Xenopus tropicalis: one gene and its partners. The protein of the gene in region 2 binds, or shares a complex with, the protein of the main gene of each other region. Links are inferred from orthologs where the notes say so. Each region holds a gene or a part of one and is shown on either strand. Other genes may lie near its edges.

Region 1 (3,569 bases), on a different chromosome or scaffold from region 2:
GACCTTTTTGGAGGCCATCTTGTAGAAACTGTAGAAGCCATGCTAGCCAGAATTCTGGAAACAGTACCTCTTCCTTCTTGCACCGTGTTCTGTAACATTCCCATGTTCTATGATACATCTTGGACGTATTGGTTTGCGTGCCTTATAATCATGGTCAATATTTACTGTGACCGGTTCCCTGGCAATCTTTCGCAACACCCGAGGTAGCATGGGAAGGGGAGGAAACACGTAAGCTAGTCTGAAGTGCCAAGGGACTGCCATGGCATCTACGCCCTCCGCTAGTGAATCTCTGTCTTGGGAAGAATCTGGGTACCTTCCGGTTGTGCCTGGATGACATTAAAATCGATTTATGGTTCTCCCCACTTCCTAGTCAGCAGTTGAAAAACATTCTTCAGTAGACTCCATTCTCCTGGGTGCAACCGATGTCTCCTGAGGTAATCGGCTTCTACGTTGTCTACTCTGGGAATGTGTATTGCCGAGATCAGGGTGTCTGTTCTTTCTGCCCACTCCAGTATGCGAGTCACTTATAGGTTTACTCTCCTACTTCTTGAGTCTCCTTGTCGGCTGACATAAGCCACCGCCGTTGCATTGTCCGACTGTATTCTCACAGCTTGGCCTTTCAGAATGTTTTCCCATGCCTGAAATGCCCGCAGGATGGCCCTGATCTCTAGAATGTTTATCGCTAATGGCGACTCTGTCTGTGACCAAAGTCCCTGGACTGAGTGTCTCTGGAATGTTAGTCGTGACCAGGTTTCTGCGAAGAATCGAAGTCGACCTCCTATGGAACCTGTGTCCAGGGCCACCAGACTGTAGACAGGAGGAGGTCACCTTGTCTCCTGTCTGTTTTGGCAAGTGTCTTTGGGGTTGCCATGTGGATTTCCCCTTGTTGGAGAACCAATTCTTGGAGGTAGTCTGGGAGTTCGATTGTGAACTGGATCTGAAGTTACGAAACCCTTGGTTCCAAAAGGACTGTCCCTTCCAGACTTGGGTTTATTCTGGGGCAAGAGAGTACTTTTGCCCCCAGTAGCCTGAGAAATTATCTTGTCCAGTTCATCGCCAAATAACTACTATCCCTGAAAGGGAATGGATATCAGGGATTTTTTTAGAGCCAATGTCAGCCGACCAAAGCTTCAACAAAGGTGCTCTTCATGTGGCAACTGAGAACGCAGATGCCCTCGCAATGACCCTAGCCACGTCAAGTGAGGCATCTGCTAGGAACTGGTAGGCTTCTTGGATGTAAGAAGCCAGTTGGATGATTGTGTCTTTGGGACCGTCCTTGGGACTGACCATGTTTCGACAGCCTGACTGACCCAGGCAGAGGCTAGGATGGGCCACAGTGCTGACCCGGTGGAGAGGAAGAAGACCCTCCATCCTCTTGTCAGTTGGGTCCTTGAACACTGAGGCGTCTGGGACTGGGGGAGCGGTGAGGAGCACTCCACTGAGTCCTTGGGAAAAGGATACTGTTTGGAAAAGAAATTTAGTAACCTGAAATTTCTTATCAGGAGATTTCCACTCCTCAAGAATCAAATTCTGTAATTGTTTGTGAGCTCAAAAGGCTACTGATGTCTTGCATTGCCTTTTAAACAGCCTTTTTTTGAGTAGACTCCTCCTCCTGAATGTTTAGGGTTTCTAGAACTGCCCTAATTAGGCTTTCCACACCAGGTGTTGTGTCAGCCGTGGTGTCCTCCTCGCTGGAGTCAGAGGCCGCTGGGGAGGAGACTATCTGCCCATCGCTGATCTCTTCATCAGAAGAGGGAAGCGTGAAAGAACCCTTAAGGGATGTTTCTGCTAGACAAGGCTGCTTGCATTCAGGTGTAACATCAGAGGCGTACGCCATTTTGGTAAGCATCTTATCAACAGAAGATGCCAATTGTGGTATGCATTGCAGGCTTGATAGGGACTGAGACAATGTGAGTGCCCAGCCTGGTACCTCGGAAGGCCCTTCAGGGTCTGAGATGCCCATGGTAGAGGAGCCCTATATGGTTCCATTAGAACCTGTCCCTAATAGCGAAGGGGTTAGAGTATCAGAGGTGTGTGCTTGGGTAGGGCTGCAAGTGGAGCAGAGCGGATCAGCTTGGCCCTCCCTGAACTTTGTAAGGCACTTGGTGCATGCAAAAAAGGTTGCAAGCAGGTTAGGGTGCTTACCCCCCCTTGAGAACAGTGCCTTCCGCTCTACTAAGAGAATGCTTGGCGATGTCGCTGTTACTGTTATTGAATGTCCCTGAATGGGAAGTAGATGCAGAGAGTCCGCAGCCCTGGGTCAGTTAATCACGTCTGCCGTACCCTGAATGGCGCGAACAGTGCTGTGAGGTGCATTGTTGGCTCTCCCTTGTGCACAAATGTGTTGCTTCCGGTCGCAAGTAGCGATGACAGCACTTATGACTGGCAGCGCGCCAAATAAAGCCGTGCGGCAGGGGAAGCGGTGTGATAGCACGCTGGTAGCATGGCAGGGGAACACGAGCAGAGAAATAGTATCTCCGGTGCCTGCCCCGCATACTTACTCTGATTAGAGTGCTGAAGCAGGGCATTGAGCATTTTGTCCCGCAGGGGAATCGGGTTTCCTGTGGATCCCACGTCGGGGGCTTGCCTGTAATGAACAGAACAGGTCTGACAAGGCCTCACCCCGGGTGCCAGTACTATCTACTGACCGAAGAAATCTTGCTGGGCCTCCTAGAGGCCAGTCCAACCTGCTGTATGAAGGACACTGAAAAAACTGGTGCCCTTCAGGGGCGGTAGGGGATAAAGGGAGAGTAGGTGGGTCCTCAGATCTGATGTCATCAGAGTCCTGCCTCCTGATGGGAGGGGCCCTTTACCCCCATGGTCCGTGTCCCCCTAGACGTGAGAAAAAATATCTATGTCCAACAATGGTTCAGTTAAAGGCAAAATCCCAATCCAACCAAAGAATATATGGCAATATTTAAAAATTGAGCTGCTCACTAATCATTTGACAACATGGAGAAAACCTGTCTGGAATAATGGGTCGATATCATCCCTCAATATTGTGCAAGTCTGATATGCACTTACTCCAAAAGCACAACTGTAATTGCTGTAAATGCAGCCAACGTTGGGTGGGGTGACACTATACATTTGTTAGTAGGGATTTACAATATACTTGTATTAAAGAGCTATCTTGTATTATAGAGCTATCTACACAGAGGCTGTTTATATGATATGTGTTTAGATATACTTTCAGGAGTATTGTTCTCAGATGGAGAATATATTTTTTAACAGAAGATGGCTACAATATTATATTTTTTTTTCAACTAATTTTGATAAAATACACAATGTTTAGAATAGAATAACTGCAGTTTTTAAGAAAAAAAAAATCTGTTAAAGCACAGCTTACCTTTTTTGGCATTTCCTTGACTTTTCTTGTTAGCAGTACTACTGTCAGCTTTTTTGACATTTGCTGATTTTGCAGCTTTTTTGCCTTTGGGTGTTGATTTAGGCTTTGATTTTGCCTTTTTTGCAATTTTCTTCGGTGGCTGTGAAATTGTAAAAATGGAACAAAAGTTAGCAATATTCCACAGGAGCAGGCCTTTTATGTAACAAGACACTTCAGTCCAGCA
Region 2 (3,569 bases):
TGCAATGGTGCAGCCAAACCCCCTCATTTCTATAGAAGCTTTAGCTTGGCAGCATATACTCTGGGCCTAGAAGAGCACTGGTATAACTGTGTTTAAGCGAAAAGCAGAGTTTTACTCCAAAATTAAAGGGACTGGCTTACCTGAAACAGTATAATGCCACAGAAGAGTCACTTTGTTTGCAGGCTTTTGCCACAAGCCTTTCCATCATGCCGTGCAGTTCTTCCTTAAGCTCTCCAACATCTTTACAATAACGCTTGGCTTTACATAAATCATTCCTATAAGGTAGAGAAAGAACAGAAAGCCTTATATTCTAATTCAGCACTATTGAATAGGACCTAGTTAATACGCTTGCCACTTATACGCTTATAGTTTTGAATCCAGGATACTGTCCCGTCATAAAAATGGTTTTACTATCTCACTATATGTGAGTAACGTGTAATGTTTCAGCCTCCTCAGGACCTCATCATACACATATCTCTGACTGCAACTCCTGAGTGTAATTCAATTCAGAGTAGCTACTGCCCTTTACAAAATAAATTGCATTTCACAAGTCAATGTGTTCCCATTAAATTATGTTTTTGTGGCCCCTTCTTCTGTCTGTTTAAGCATTACTCTGAGCATGTCAGATCCTTCTTGCTGACAACGTGTGCCAGAGCCCTAAAAGATATTACTTCACCCATATCAGGTGACATATGTCTCAGGCCAATAATGGGTCAAGGCTAAATGTATCAACTACTTAATTTTAATACCCGTGGACAATTCTATTGGAAAAACAGATAAAACAAGTGTTTTGCACCCAAGTAACATGCTCCTACCCTGTGAGATTTTATCTCTGCAACAGTTATAACAGACAGGTAACATGCAATAAAAAAATTTATATATTTTATATTACAGAACTCCTTTCGTAAAATAAAGTTTCAGCTCTGGGAAAATAAATAAACAGGTAGGGGCCGATTTATGAACCTTTGTTTTTTGCTCTTTCACAAATCATACTATCAAGCTCTAAAAATCACATATTTTACTAATTACTTGACAAAACAAATTTTTCATAATTTACCAAGTGTAAAAACTATGAAAAACACTAATATAAAACTACGCCATCTAAAAGCTTGTCGTGCTCATGTAGATTTCAATGGTAGCTGTCCTAGGAAAATTGTAACAATCATTATTTAATTCGAGTTATTTGTTAGTGCTCTAAATTCTTATAAAAATGAGGATTTCAAAGTTTTCATATTCTTCTTCATTTTCACTGTAAATTTTATTTGATCATGCTTTTTATATTTGGATCTTTTAATAAATAAGTGAACATTCAAGATTTTTTTCATTTGTTTGTTTTTTCTTGGTAAGAAAAAGTTACACAACTTAAAATTTTAAATCCTACAGCAAGGATGTGGCATCCTTGCAGCAGGATCTTGACCAACTGGCAATCTGGGCAGCAGAGTGGCAGATGAGATTTAATGTGGATAAATATAAAGGTCATGCAACTGGGATGTAAAAATATGCAAGCCACCCTTAATGGGACTGCACTAGGCAAATCCATAATGGAGAAGGACCTTGGAGTCCTTGTAGATAATAAACTTGGCTGTAGCAAGCAATGCCAGGCAGCAGCTGCAAGGGCAAACAGGGTTTTGAGCTGTATTAAAAGGGGTATAGATTCACGGGAGGAGGGGGCTATTCTTCCCCTTTACAGAGCGCTGGTAAGGCCCCATCTAGAATATGCTGTTCAGTTTTGGTCTCCAGTGCACAAACGGGACATTATTGAATTAGAGAGGGTCCAGAGAAGGGCAAAGTCTCGGTTATGAAGAAAGACTGGGCCAAGTTGGGTCTGTTTACACTGGAGAAGAGGCGCTTAAAGGACAATGAAAGGTTAATATAAATTAAAAGTAAGTCTAAAGGCATTCTTTTTAAGTACTAACTGCATATCTAAATTCCCAGATCTCTGCTTGCTTCTCTGAGATATGGTGCTGGCAGCCTACAGCAGTGTGAAGACTACAGTGACATCACTGAAATCTCTCTGTCCTTCCTGTAGGCTGGAAGCGGATCTGGCAGAGGGGAGGGAATGAAACACATGTGCAGTATGAAGCAAGAAGGGAAAGGAAGGGAGAATACCTTTTTGGAGATGGCTGCCTGTTCTAGAAAATGTGAAGTAAGTGTGACTGAGTAAATATTTGATTAGGTGAGCCAAAAGTGTGGCGTTTTTACTAAATAATAGGAGGACTATTGGGCAGTATGCTTTTTAAATTTTGACTTGCATTCTCCTTTAAGAGGTGACATGATAACTATGTATAAATATATAAGGGGGCCATATAATAACATCTATAATGCTTTATTTACCATTAGGTCCTTCCAACGGACACAAGGGCACCTACTCCGTTTAGAAGAAGGGAGGTTCCGTTTAAATATTCGGAAAGGATTCTTTACTGGAGAGCTGTGAAGTTGTGGAATTCCCTCCCCGAATCAGTTGTACTGGCTGAAACATTATATAGCTTTAAGAAGGGGCTGGATGGATTCTTAGCAAGTGAGGGAATACAGGGTTATGGGAGATAGCTCTTAGTACAAGTTGATCCAGGGACTGGATTGCCATCTTGGAGTCAGGAAGGATTTTTTCCCCTCTGCGACAAATTAGAAAGGCTTCAGATGGGGTTTTTTGCCTCTCTCTGGATCAACTACAACCTAACTTACTATGTTACTATATCTACCTCACTGAATCCCAAACTAATCTGGATATGTGCATCATGTGCTTGGGTACTTACATGAAAATGTCTGCTGTTTTTCTGAGAAAGTCTTGTTCCTGTTGGTTAGATTCAGAATTCATGCTTTGTTCAATTACAGAAATTAATGGTTCAATGATGTTAAATACAAGAGGACTGTCAGGCTGCTTTTTCACAAACACCTCTATCAGATCCAGCACCTGTGGACACAGAATGAGTTGTCAGTTATCAGTTAATGACTTTTTTTTCTTTTTGCACTCAACAAATGCAATAATGAGATACTAAAAAACGAGCACCATTAGCAGTCATATCCTTTAAAAGTGAATGATTGTGCACATCTAGGACAGATTAAAAAAATGTGTATGTGCGGTTTCAGTATCTTATACATAGGAACAAACTAAGGGATCTGGAAAAGAAAATTCTAATAAATCCTAACCAATTAAATAAAGGAATGGGTGCCCTTTACAGTTCAGTACAAGAGGGCTCAGTTCGTGCAAGCTACATATGAAGAAAGCTGGTGAAAACTGCTGACATCACTATAATGGCGCAAGAGAATGATATAACATAAGCATGAAAAAAGACAGGACTTTGGTCCTTCAAGAATTAAACTCATGAGACTACTTTCAATTTTGCCCTAAGAAAGGTATGTAAATGATTTGAGGTTTCATTCCAGTCAGAGAACTATAAGCAAGAAATCTGAATGTTCTCATGCATGCATGGGTTTTGGATTCTGATTAAAAAACTGACATACCCAACTCTGCATTAAATGATATTTTCATTTAGTGGGGAAAAAAGCATTTAAAATAATATTAACAACCTTTGTCTTGAACTCCTTGCGCAAAATCTTCTCCCCACGGA
Region 3 (4,222 bases), on a different chromosome or scaffold from region 2:
CTGCGCATGTGTACGCGAGCGAAGCCGGAAGGAGGAATCGCTGCTACCCCGGGCTGGTGCTGTTCTCTCCGTACAGGGGCACCAGCCCGGGGTAGAAGGTAAGAGATTAAAGTCACTGGGGGTGCCTAACATTTTGGCTCCTCCAAGTGACTTTGCCTTTCCCTCTCCTTTAAAGTTTGACCACAAGGGTGTTTGAGTATTTTGATTATATTACACTAGATCAGTGATCCCCACCAGTGGCTCGGGGGCAACATGTTGGATGTTGCTCTCAGTGACCCCAAACCAGGGAGTTATTGTTGAATTCCTGACTTGGGGGCAAGTTTTGGTTTAATAAAAACAAGATTTCCTACCAAATAAAGCCCCCTGTAAGCTGATAGGGTGCATAGAGGCCCCTAATAGCCAATCACGGCCCTTATTTGGCACCTCCATGAACTTTTATGGTGCTTGTGTTGCTCCCCAAGTCTTTTTACATGACTGTGGCTCCCGCGTAGGAAAGGTTGGGGATCCCTGGACTAAATGTTCATTTTTCTTATTCCCTTGTAGCTTTCAGCGCCAATCTGTGTTGTTTATTTGAGGATCCAGCTTTGAAAAGCTGTGAATCAGATCGGCAAACTAACCTTTTTAAAAAGTGAACTTATCCTTTGACTATTCCCAAACTTCATATAGCATACACAGGGCGGCACTGGAAAGCCTGATTAAGGGGCAGAATCAGCCCTGTATAGAGCCCCAATGTTTCTCATAACAGCCCCCTGGGCAATACCTTAGTTTCTTAGTATAGCCTATTCTATCTCATACTAATGGTATTCCTAAAATAACTTGAAATGACCCCTTATTTTGAAAGACTAGAAGTTCACGTTTACTAGGGTGTGAAAATGAAAAATATTTCATTTGTAGATGTTTGGTTTAAGGTACATTGTAGAAAACAATCCCCATTCTCAACCTACATGACAAACTCCTAAGAGGGCAGAGTACAAACCCGCTAAATGCGACATACACTGTACCCAACCATTGACAACAAACTATTCTCGCGAGATTTTAGGCAGAAACATCCCCGTAAACCCGGCAATTTAGAAGCCCGCCCCTTTTTTCCCGCCTCCCATTCAATCTGTAGACACGCCCATTATTCCACTCTTGCGCGGGTACAATAGTTTTTTTTATGCGCGCCGCCGCTGCCTCTGCCATATGGGCCACTCGCATCACCCTAGCGTAGGCTTGCGGGGCCAAATCTCGCGGGATCTGGTCTCGGCTCCCTAGTAAAGCTTAGATCTCGCGAGATCTCAAACGGATTGGTGCGTTTTTTTCCCCTCTCCCTGGTGACGCGCGCTGTCGATCAAAGAGGGAAAAAGCCGGCACATTGCGAGTGCGCTCTCCTACGCGCCCCCTACGCTCTCTTCCTAGTGGCTCCCGCCAGCAGCGTGTGGGATTACACACGCATCCATTCAAGGATCGCGCTTTACTCCGGGTTTCTCATTAAACCCCCTGCCTCGTTGTGTGAGCCCCGCGTTGGACGGACGGTGTTAGTAGATCCTGATCATGTCCGCGGAAGGCACCGAGCAGCAGCCGGCTCCGGACACCGTAGCGAAAGAGGAAAAAGGAGAAGCAAAGGAGGCTATGGAAGTAGATACGGGCGATCAGGCGAAACAAGAGCCGGGCGGAGACGCAGTTAAAGAGGAAGCGATGGAGGTAAGAGGAGCCGGCCCAGGCAGCACGCACTTTATGGCTCCTACCAAGGAACTCAAACTTCTTCTTTATCTTGAACGTCATTATTTTAACCATCTCCTGGCCGCTGAGAGTTGTAGTTTTTCAGCAGCTAGATATGTCTTATCTGCTCATTCACTTGCGTATGTGAGAACCTGTAGAGTTAAAGCGGACCTCTCTGTCCCATTGAAATGTCCAGCCGTGAGTGCGCATGTGCGCGGTAGCCGGGCTTCTGCCTCACGGTACCTCTCATTTCCTATATATATATATATATATATATATTATAAGTATTGGCTAGGTGTGGTGCTTCGCACTCTCTTAGCATTGGGCTTCTCATTGTTCCAAAAGTCATTCTAAAGCCCCAGCGGCTCCTCCCAGTACGGGGCGTGGCTACTGTTAGTGCTGGTCGCTCTCCAGGCCTCCAACTCTTTGTTAGCTGACATGCTATACTACATTTCCATCATCCTGCTGCCAGCCTTTCTATCGGCTCACGGAACATGTACAAGGAGTAGTGCCGATATCTGTGGCCTCTTACGTAATTTTTCTAATGGAGATTCTTATGTGTTCCTAGTTCACTTACTGCTGATCATTTATCAGCAATCTGCATCTGGACAGTAACCCATAGCAACCAATCAGAGATGAGCTTTTTTTCATCCTTCTTCAGTTAGAACAATAATAGCAAACTTTGATCGATTGTCATGGGTTAATGCAAGGGTGCAAGTTTTAACCAACTTTATCAAATAAACTCTACTCACTTTTCTCATTTAAGTTATTAACTGTATGCAAGATCTTTTCTGCCCTTGATCTAAATTAGTTATCTTTGTGTTCCTGTTTTTCAGCCTTTTGGCTTTATTTTTATTCGCCTGACTTATTATAAATAGTTGATGGAATACTGTATTTCTAAGCAATCAGTTCTCCCTGTTCAATGAACAGCTGTTTGTAGTCAGTCCCTGTTTATTGGGCCTGTGGGGACTGTTTGGCTTTCTTTGCACCTGATAAACCAGGGTTTATTTCATTTCCCAGTCCAGTCATTTAATAGTTCTTGCCAGTGTTCTCCCCAGAAAAAAAATAAATGTGATATAGCTGAGGTTAAGGGGGCTTAACCCATTTATTATCCAAATGGGTAAAAGTCCAGCCCATCTGTTCCACTTCCTCCGTTCCCAGGCCATGCAGCACTTTGCACTGTAGGATTGAAGCCAATCAGCAATTAGGCTGACCTGATAGGGAACTGAAGCCTATCTGTGCAGAGGTGTGTGTGCTATCCTACTGTGCTTCTGGCAGGGAAAGTTAGAACATGCCCACACTGCATTTGAAACACAGGCAGGGACCCGAGAGAATCTATAGGAAGCTCTGATAAAGGGTTCATTTTTACAGATAGTGGTATTAAAGACCAAAGTGAAACCAGCACCATATAGTATTCATAATTGCCTACAAGATTAGAGATTTTTTCATTTATCCTATGTCTCCTTTAACGTCTATTAGCCCCTTTATTAGGGGGCAAATCTAAATACATAAGTACCAGAATATATACATAATAGACATTTAAGGACTTATGAATAGACGTTTAAAATTTATGCACTATAACCAGTCCGTAATCCCATGATTTTCAACAGTGGAAAGTCACAAATTCAGTTACATTACCAGTTTTTACATATCTCTTAAATTTAGACTAAAGGCCCCCTTACACGGGCCGATAGAAGCTGCCGATATCGGTCCCTTGGACCGGCTCGGCAGCTTATCTGCCCGTGTAGGGGCAGAAACGAGCGGGCTGGCCGACCGATATCTGGCCTGAAATTGGCCAGATATCGATCGGCCAGGTTAAAAGATTCAGTCGGATCGGAGGCCGCATCAGCTCGTTGATGCGGTCCCCGAACCGACTGCCCCATTGCTGCCTACATAATCCGGTCGTTTGGCCCCAGGGCCAAACAATCGGATTATTTTTTTTTTTAACTTCAAGCTAGCTCAAGTGTATCGCTAGTAGGGAAGAAATTGCCAGCCAGGTAAAAATAGGCCTTGGTGGGGATAAAAATTAAATGTTCCTGCCCCTAAAAGAAAAACTTTAACAGAAGCTAAGAGGACTGTGTGCTTCTTCAAATGCATCGCACTGTCCTTCCAACTTCTGTAACAGAAATTTCATCTACATAAGAGGTGGGGAAAACTTTGGCTGTTTGCCTTGTGTAAGGAAATAAAAAGGGCAGATTTGTTATTTGTTCCCTGAAATCGCGGAAGTTTCCTCTCAAGACAACTTCCGCTATTTCAGGGAAATCGCGGCGCCACGTATGCCATCCCACCGGTAATTTGCATTTTCGCCAGTGGGATGGCATTTCGGGGAGATTAGTTGCCCGTGAACAGGGAGATTTGTTGCGGGCGACTAATCTCCCCGTGTGCCAGAGCCCTTAAGATGACCACACACGTGGCGATTTTTGATCTTTCTGTTGCACGAAAGATCGTTCCAACCCACCCTGACATTCAGGGCTGAATCATCAGATATGGAAAAGTAGAAACAATAGGATTTCTACCTCCT
Region 4 (3,569 bases), on a different chromosome or scaffold from region 2:
TTTGTTTCAATAAAGATCTTTGTTTTTAACCCTGGAGCGTGGAGACCGTTTCTTTTTCCTTTCAGATTGTAATCACTTAACTTATACCCCGGGCTGGTGCTCCTGTTAGCAGAAACCTGCACTGCCAAAATCCTGGAGCCAAAGCATATGCGGTAAAGTGAAAAAGCCAGCTTTTTTGCCGATGTTTGGTTTTTCACACTTAACATGTGCCCACAGTGTAAAGAAAGAAGCACTCACATGTACCCCTGGCTGGAGCTGTTTTCTGCTAACAGAAGCACCGGCTTGGGGTATCAGGTAAGTGATTACAACCACTTGAGCTGCCTACATTTTTTGTGATCCTGTTTTAATTTCTGCCTGAGGGAGATTCTATTATATTTAGTCAAAGTGTGAACAATTTCTCATAACTCAATTAAACCTCTTAGCTGAACCAAATCAAAGCCTTGCCACTTATTCTTATGTGATGATTCTAGAAAGAACATCATTATTATTTTTAAGCTGTGTAGGCCAGTTAGTTGTCTTACAAAAAAAAAAATACATTTAACGAATTACATTTGTACAAAGCTAGTTATTTTCTATTCTATACATTGTTATCAATTCCATCAGAATAGGTTGGAATGATGTTTAAACTGGTTACAGGCTTGGAGTCCTACATTGTTTAAAGCTCTGCTGTCCAACTGGCCCCTCTGTGTCCCCCCCCCACCTGTCTGCCTGCTGTGACTGCTTACCTTTGTGTAAGCTTTAAATGGTACAGGTATGGGATCCGTTATCCGGAAACCCATTATCCAGAAAGTTCCAAATTACGGGATGGCCCGTAACTGGCCCATAGACTCCATTATAAGCAAATAATTCTAATTTTTAAAAATGATTTCCTTTTTCTCTGTATTAAAACAGTACCTTGTACTTGATCCCAACTAAGATATAATTACTCCTTATTGGAAGCAAAACAATTCTGTTGATTTTTTTTTTTAATGTTTGAAAAATCTTTTAGTAGACAATGTAAGGTGATCCAAATTATGGAAAGATCACTTATCCAGAAAACCCCAGGTCCTGAGCATTCTGGTTAATGGGTTCCATACTTGTATCAGTACTGAGATTAACTGGCATTATTATCCTCAGATTCAGGCTGTAATCCCCGGTACTTTTCATACCTTTTAGTGAATGTACTGTTCACACCTCAGGCTCAGACTGTAAGACCCCACATTGTTCACACCTCAGACACACTGTAGGAGCAGTGTCAGCATTGTGTCACTATATGTACTGCACACACAGGCAGCATAGGGCAGGCAGAGTATGGCGCACACAGGGCAGCATAGGGCTGGGATAGTATGGCACACACTGGCAGCATAGAGCATGCAGAATACTGCCATACTTTGCCTGCCCTATACTGCTTGTGTATGTCATACTCTGCCTGCCCAATGCTGCCTGTGTGCACCATACACTGCCTGCCCTACGTTGCCTGTGGGAGGTGAACCAGGCAGGGTTTTGTTCTAGGAGTTTGTAGCATTTGGAAATAGTTATTATATGGTCCCTAAGGTGTCTAATTATATGGTGGGGGTTGCTGTGCTATCCACAAGGGAGGATGAGGCATATGGATTTAAGGGTATGTCTTAATATGACATAATATAATTCTTTCACATATGAATGAAGGGTAATATCCCTACAGTGAGCACCAACTATTTGGGTTTTTGCTGTGCTACCATCATCAATGTCAGTATGATCTTAAAAGCTCTTGTGATAACATTGGTGTGGTTTGGAGTGGGTACAGTTTAAAAAGGGGGAGGAGTGGTCAAAAATGGCTTCCATTATTAGCCATCCACCACACAGGCCACAAAAATTCTGGCCCTCGGTACCACAAAAGTTGGACAGCACACAATAGTTGAAGTAGTATTTCCAAATAATGGAATTATAAGCACAGAACAACTTAAGTAATTTAATGTGTGTACACACACACTGAAACTTGCAAAAATGGTGACCTCCGTTCACGGTGGTCTTCATTTTCTATGTGTGTGTCTTGTGAGTTAGTTTAAAGGAGTACCAGTAGCAGTTGGTGTTTCTACATCAGATTATGTGGCTTGTGTGTGGGCTTAGTGTATTTCTTTTCATGCAATGTATCATCCATTGGTCCCAGTAGCCACCCATACACACAGTCAATTTCTTTGAAAGCAATGAAATCACTGTTATACTTAACATTCTCTAACATTTTCCCACTGGATACAGTAGCACCTAAGAGGCTTAATCAAATACTGCCTCTATGTAGATCTAGAACTTTCTTATATGAGACTTTGCTACATCTGAACTAGTATACCTAATATGAATGCCCCACTTTTTTTCCTTTTCATGATTTAATATGTAATATGCACTATTATGATTTTAGATACACATATTTTGGTCAAAAGACCCTTGACATTAATATTCAGGATGTTTTATCTTGTAATAAAAGGACATATTGGAGATCGAAAATTAAAATAGCATTTAAGCACTTTACCTGTCAGCAATACGCCCAACAAGATCAATGCAGTTCTCCTGTACTTTCTCGTGTCTATTTTTCAGGATAGGTGTTAACCGTGGTAGAAGATCCTTAATTGGAGGTGTCATCTTGTGCATTCCTAGTGTGCCAAAGTTAAAGAGTGAGCAGAATTTTCATTTATTAAAATAGGCACAAAAATGAGAAAATTCACTGATTCATACTTACCTATAACATTTACGATTGCTTTAAGAGCTCCTAAAATACTTCCCAGTACTTCAGGGTACTCTTCTCCAAGATATTCATATAAAACAACACCCAAATGTCCCATCAATTTTTCCTATAATGAAACATAAGATAGGTTGTTTAGTAAATTAAACAATCCCCACCTCCAAAAAAAAAAACAACACACAACCCCCCCCCCCCCCAACAAACACACCTCTTGACAAGTCTTCATGACAACTGCAGTGCGGGATATCAAGTCAGCAGCCTGCTGTCTTACTTTAGCAGATTTATTGTTCAACCTCCACAAGACTGTTCCACAAATTTGAGGCAGGTAAGGCTTTACTCTTTTACCAAGAGCATTTACAACAGTGCCAAATCCATTTAACATTACAGAATCCTAGGAAACAAGATCAAAAAAAGAAAATTTAAATCACAGCACCCAAATCCTGCACGTATTCTATAATTACTATAATTACTCATCTCTCCCTCCAAAACTCAAATCTATGAATACGTCACATTCCCAAACCAAAAATTCATACCAGTAATAGGGATTTTATCTAAGAACTTTTTAAGAACTGTATTTAACATGTAAGTCGCCGGCGGGATGGCAGACGTGGCGGGGCGATTTCCGGAAATCGCCGAAAAAGACTCGCGAGTCTTTTTCAGCAATTTGCGCGAAATCGCGCCGCGTCTGCCATCCCGCCGGCGACTTACATGTTCGCCGGTGGGATGGCAGGGGTAGGCAACTCGGGGAGATAAGTCGCCCGCGAACAGGGAGTTAATCGCGGGCGACTAATCTCCCCCGTGTGCCAGAGCCCTAAAGGTATCAGTAATAATATAAAACTGGCACTACACTGAAAGATCTGCTTGTGTGGTGAGG

The links.
Region 1: mybbp1a (region 2) and dek share a complex: the UniProt entries of both Homo sapiens proteins name them as parts of the B-WICH complex. The link is inferred for Xenopus tropicalis from reciprocal best matches to the Homo sapiens genes MYBBP1A and DEK.
Region 3: mybbp1a (region 2) and smarca5 share a complex: the UniProt entries of both Homo sapiens proteins name them as parts of the B-WICH complex. The link is inferred for Xenopus tropicalis from reciprocal best matches to the Homo sapiens genes MYBBP1A and SMARCA5.
Region 4: mybbp1a (region 2) and sf3b1 share a complex: the UniProt entries of both Homo sapiens proteins name them as parts of the B-WICH complex. The link is inferred for Xenopus tropicalis from reciprocal best matches to the Homo sapiens genes MYBBP1A and SF3B1.

Annotation. Positions count from the first base shown.
Region 1 is NC_030682.2:93,507,189-93,510,757, forward strand, and holds part of dek (protein DEK), read right to left. Parts: intron 3,486-3,569; coding exon 3,347-3,485; intron 1-3,346. UniProt on the Homo sapiens protein: Involved in chromatin organization.
Region 2 is NC_030678.2:101,003,543-101,007,111, reverse strand, and holds part of mybbp1a (myb-binding protein 1A), read right to left. Parts: coding exon 3,529-3,569; intron 2,912-3,528; coding exon 2,754-2,911; intron 276-2,753; coding exon 141-275; intron 1-140. UniProt on the Homo sapiens protein: May activate or repress transcription via interactions with sequence specific DNA-binding proteins. Repression may be mediated at least in part by histone deacetylase activity (HDAC activity).
Region 3 is NC_030677.2:59,238,866-59,243,087, reverse strand, and holds the start of smarca5 (SWI/SNF-related matrix-associated actin-dependent regulator of chromatin subfamily A member 5), read left to right. Parts: upstream 1-1,384; 5' UTR 1,385-1,533; coding exon 1,534-1,683; intron 1,684-4,222. UniProt on the Homo sapiens protein: ATPase that possesses intrinsic ATP-dependent nucleosome-remodeling activity.
Region 4 is NC_030685.2:45,859,922-45,863,490, forward strand, and holds part of sf3b1 (splicing factor 3B subunit 1), read right to left. Parts: intron 3,087-3,569; coding exon 2,904-3,086; intron 2,805-2,903; coding exon 2,693-2,804; intron 2,607-2,692; coding exon 2,486-2,606; intron 1-2,485. UniProt on the Homo sapiens protein: Component of the 17S U2 SnRNP complex of the spliceosome, a large ribonucleoprotein complex that removes introns from transcribed pre-mRNAs.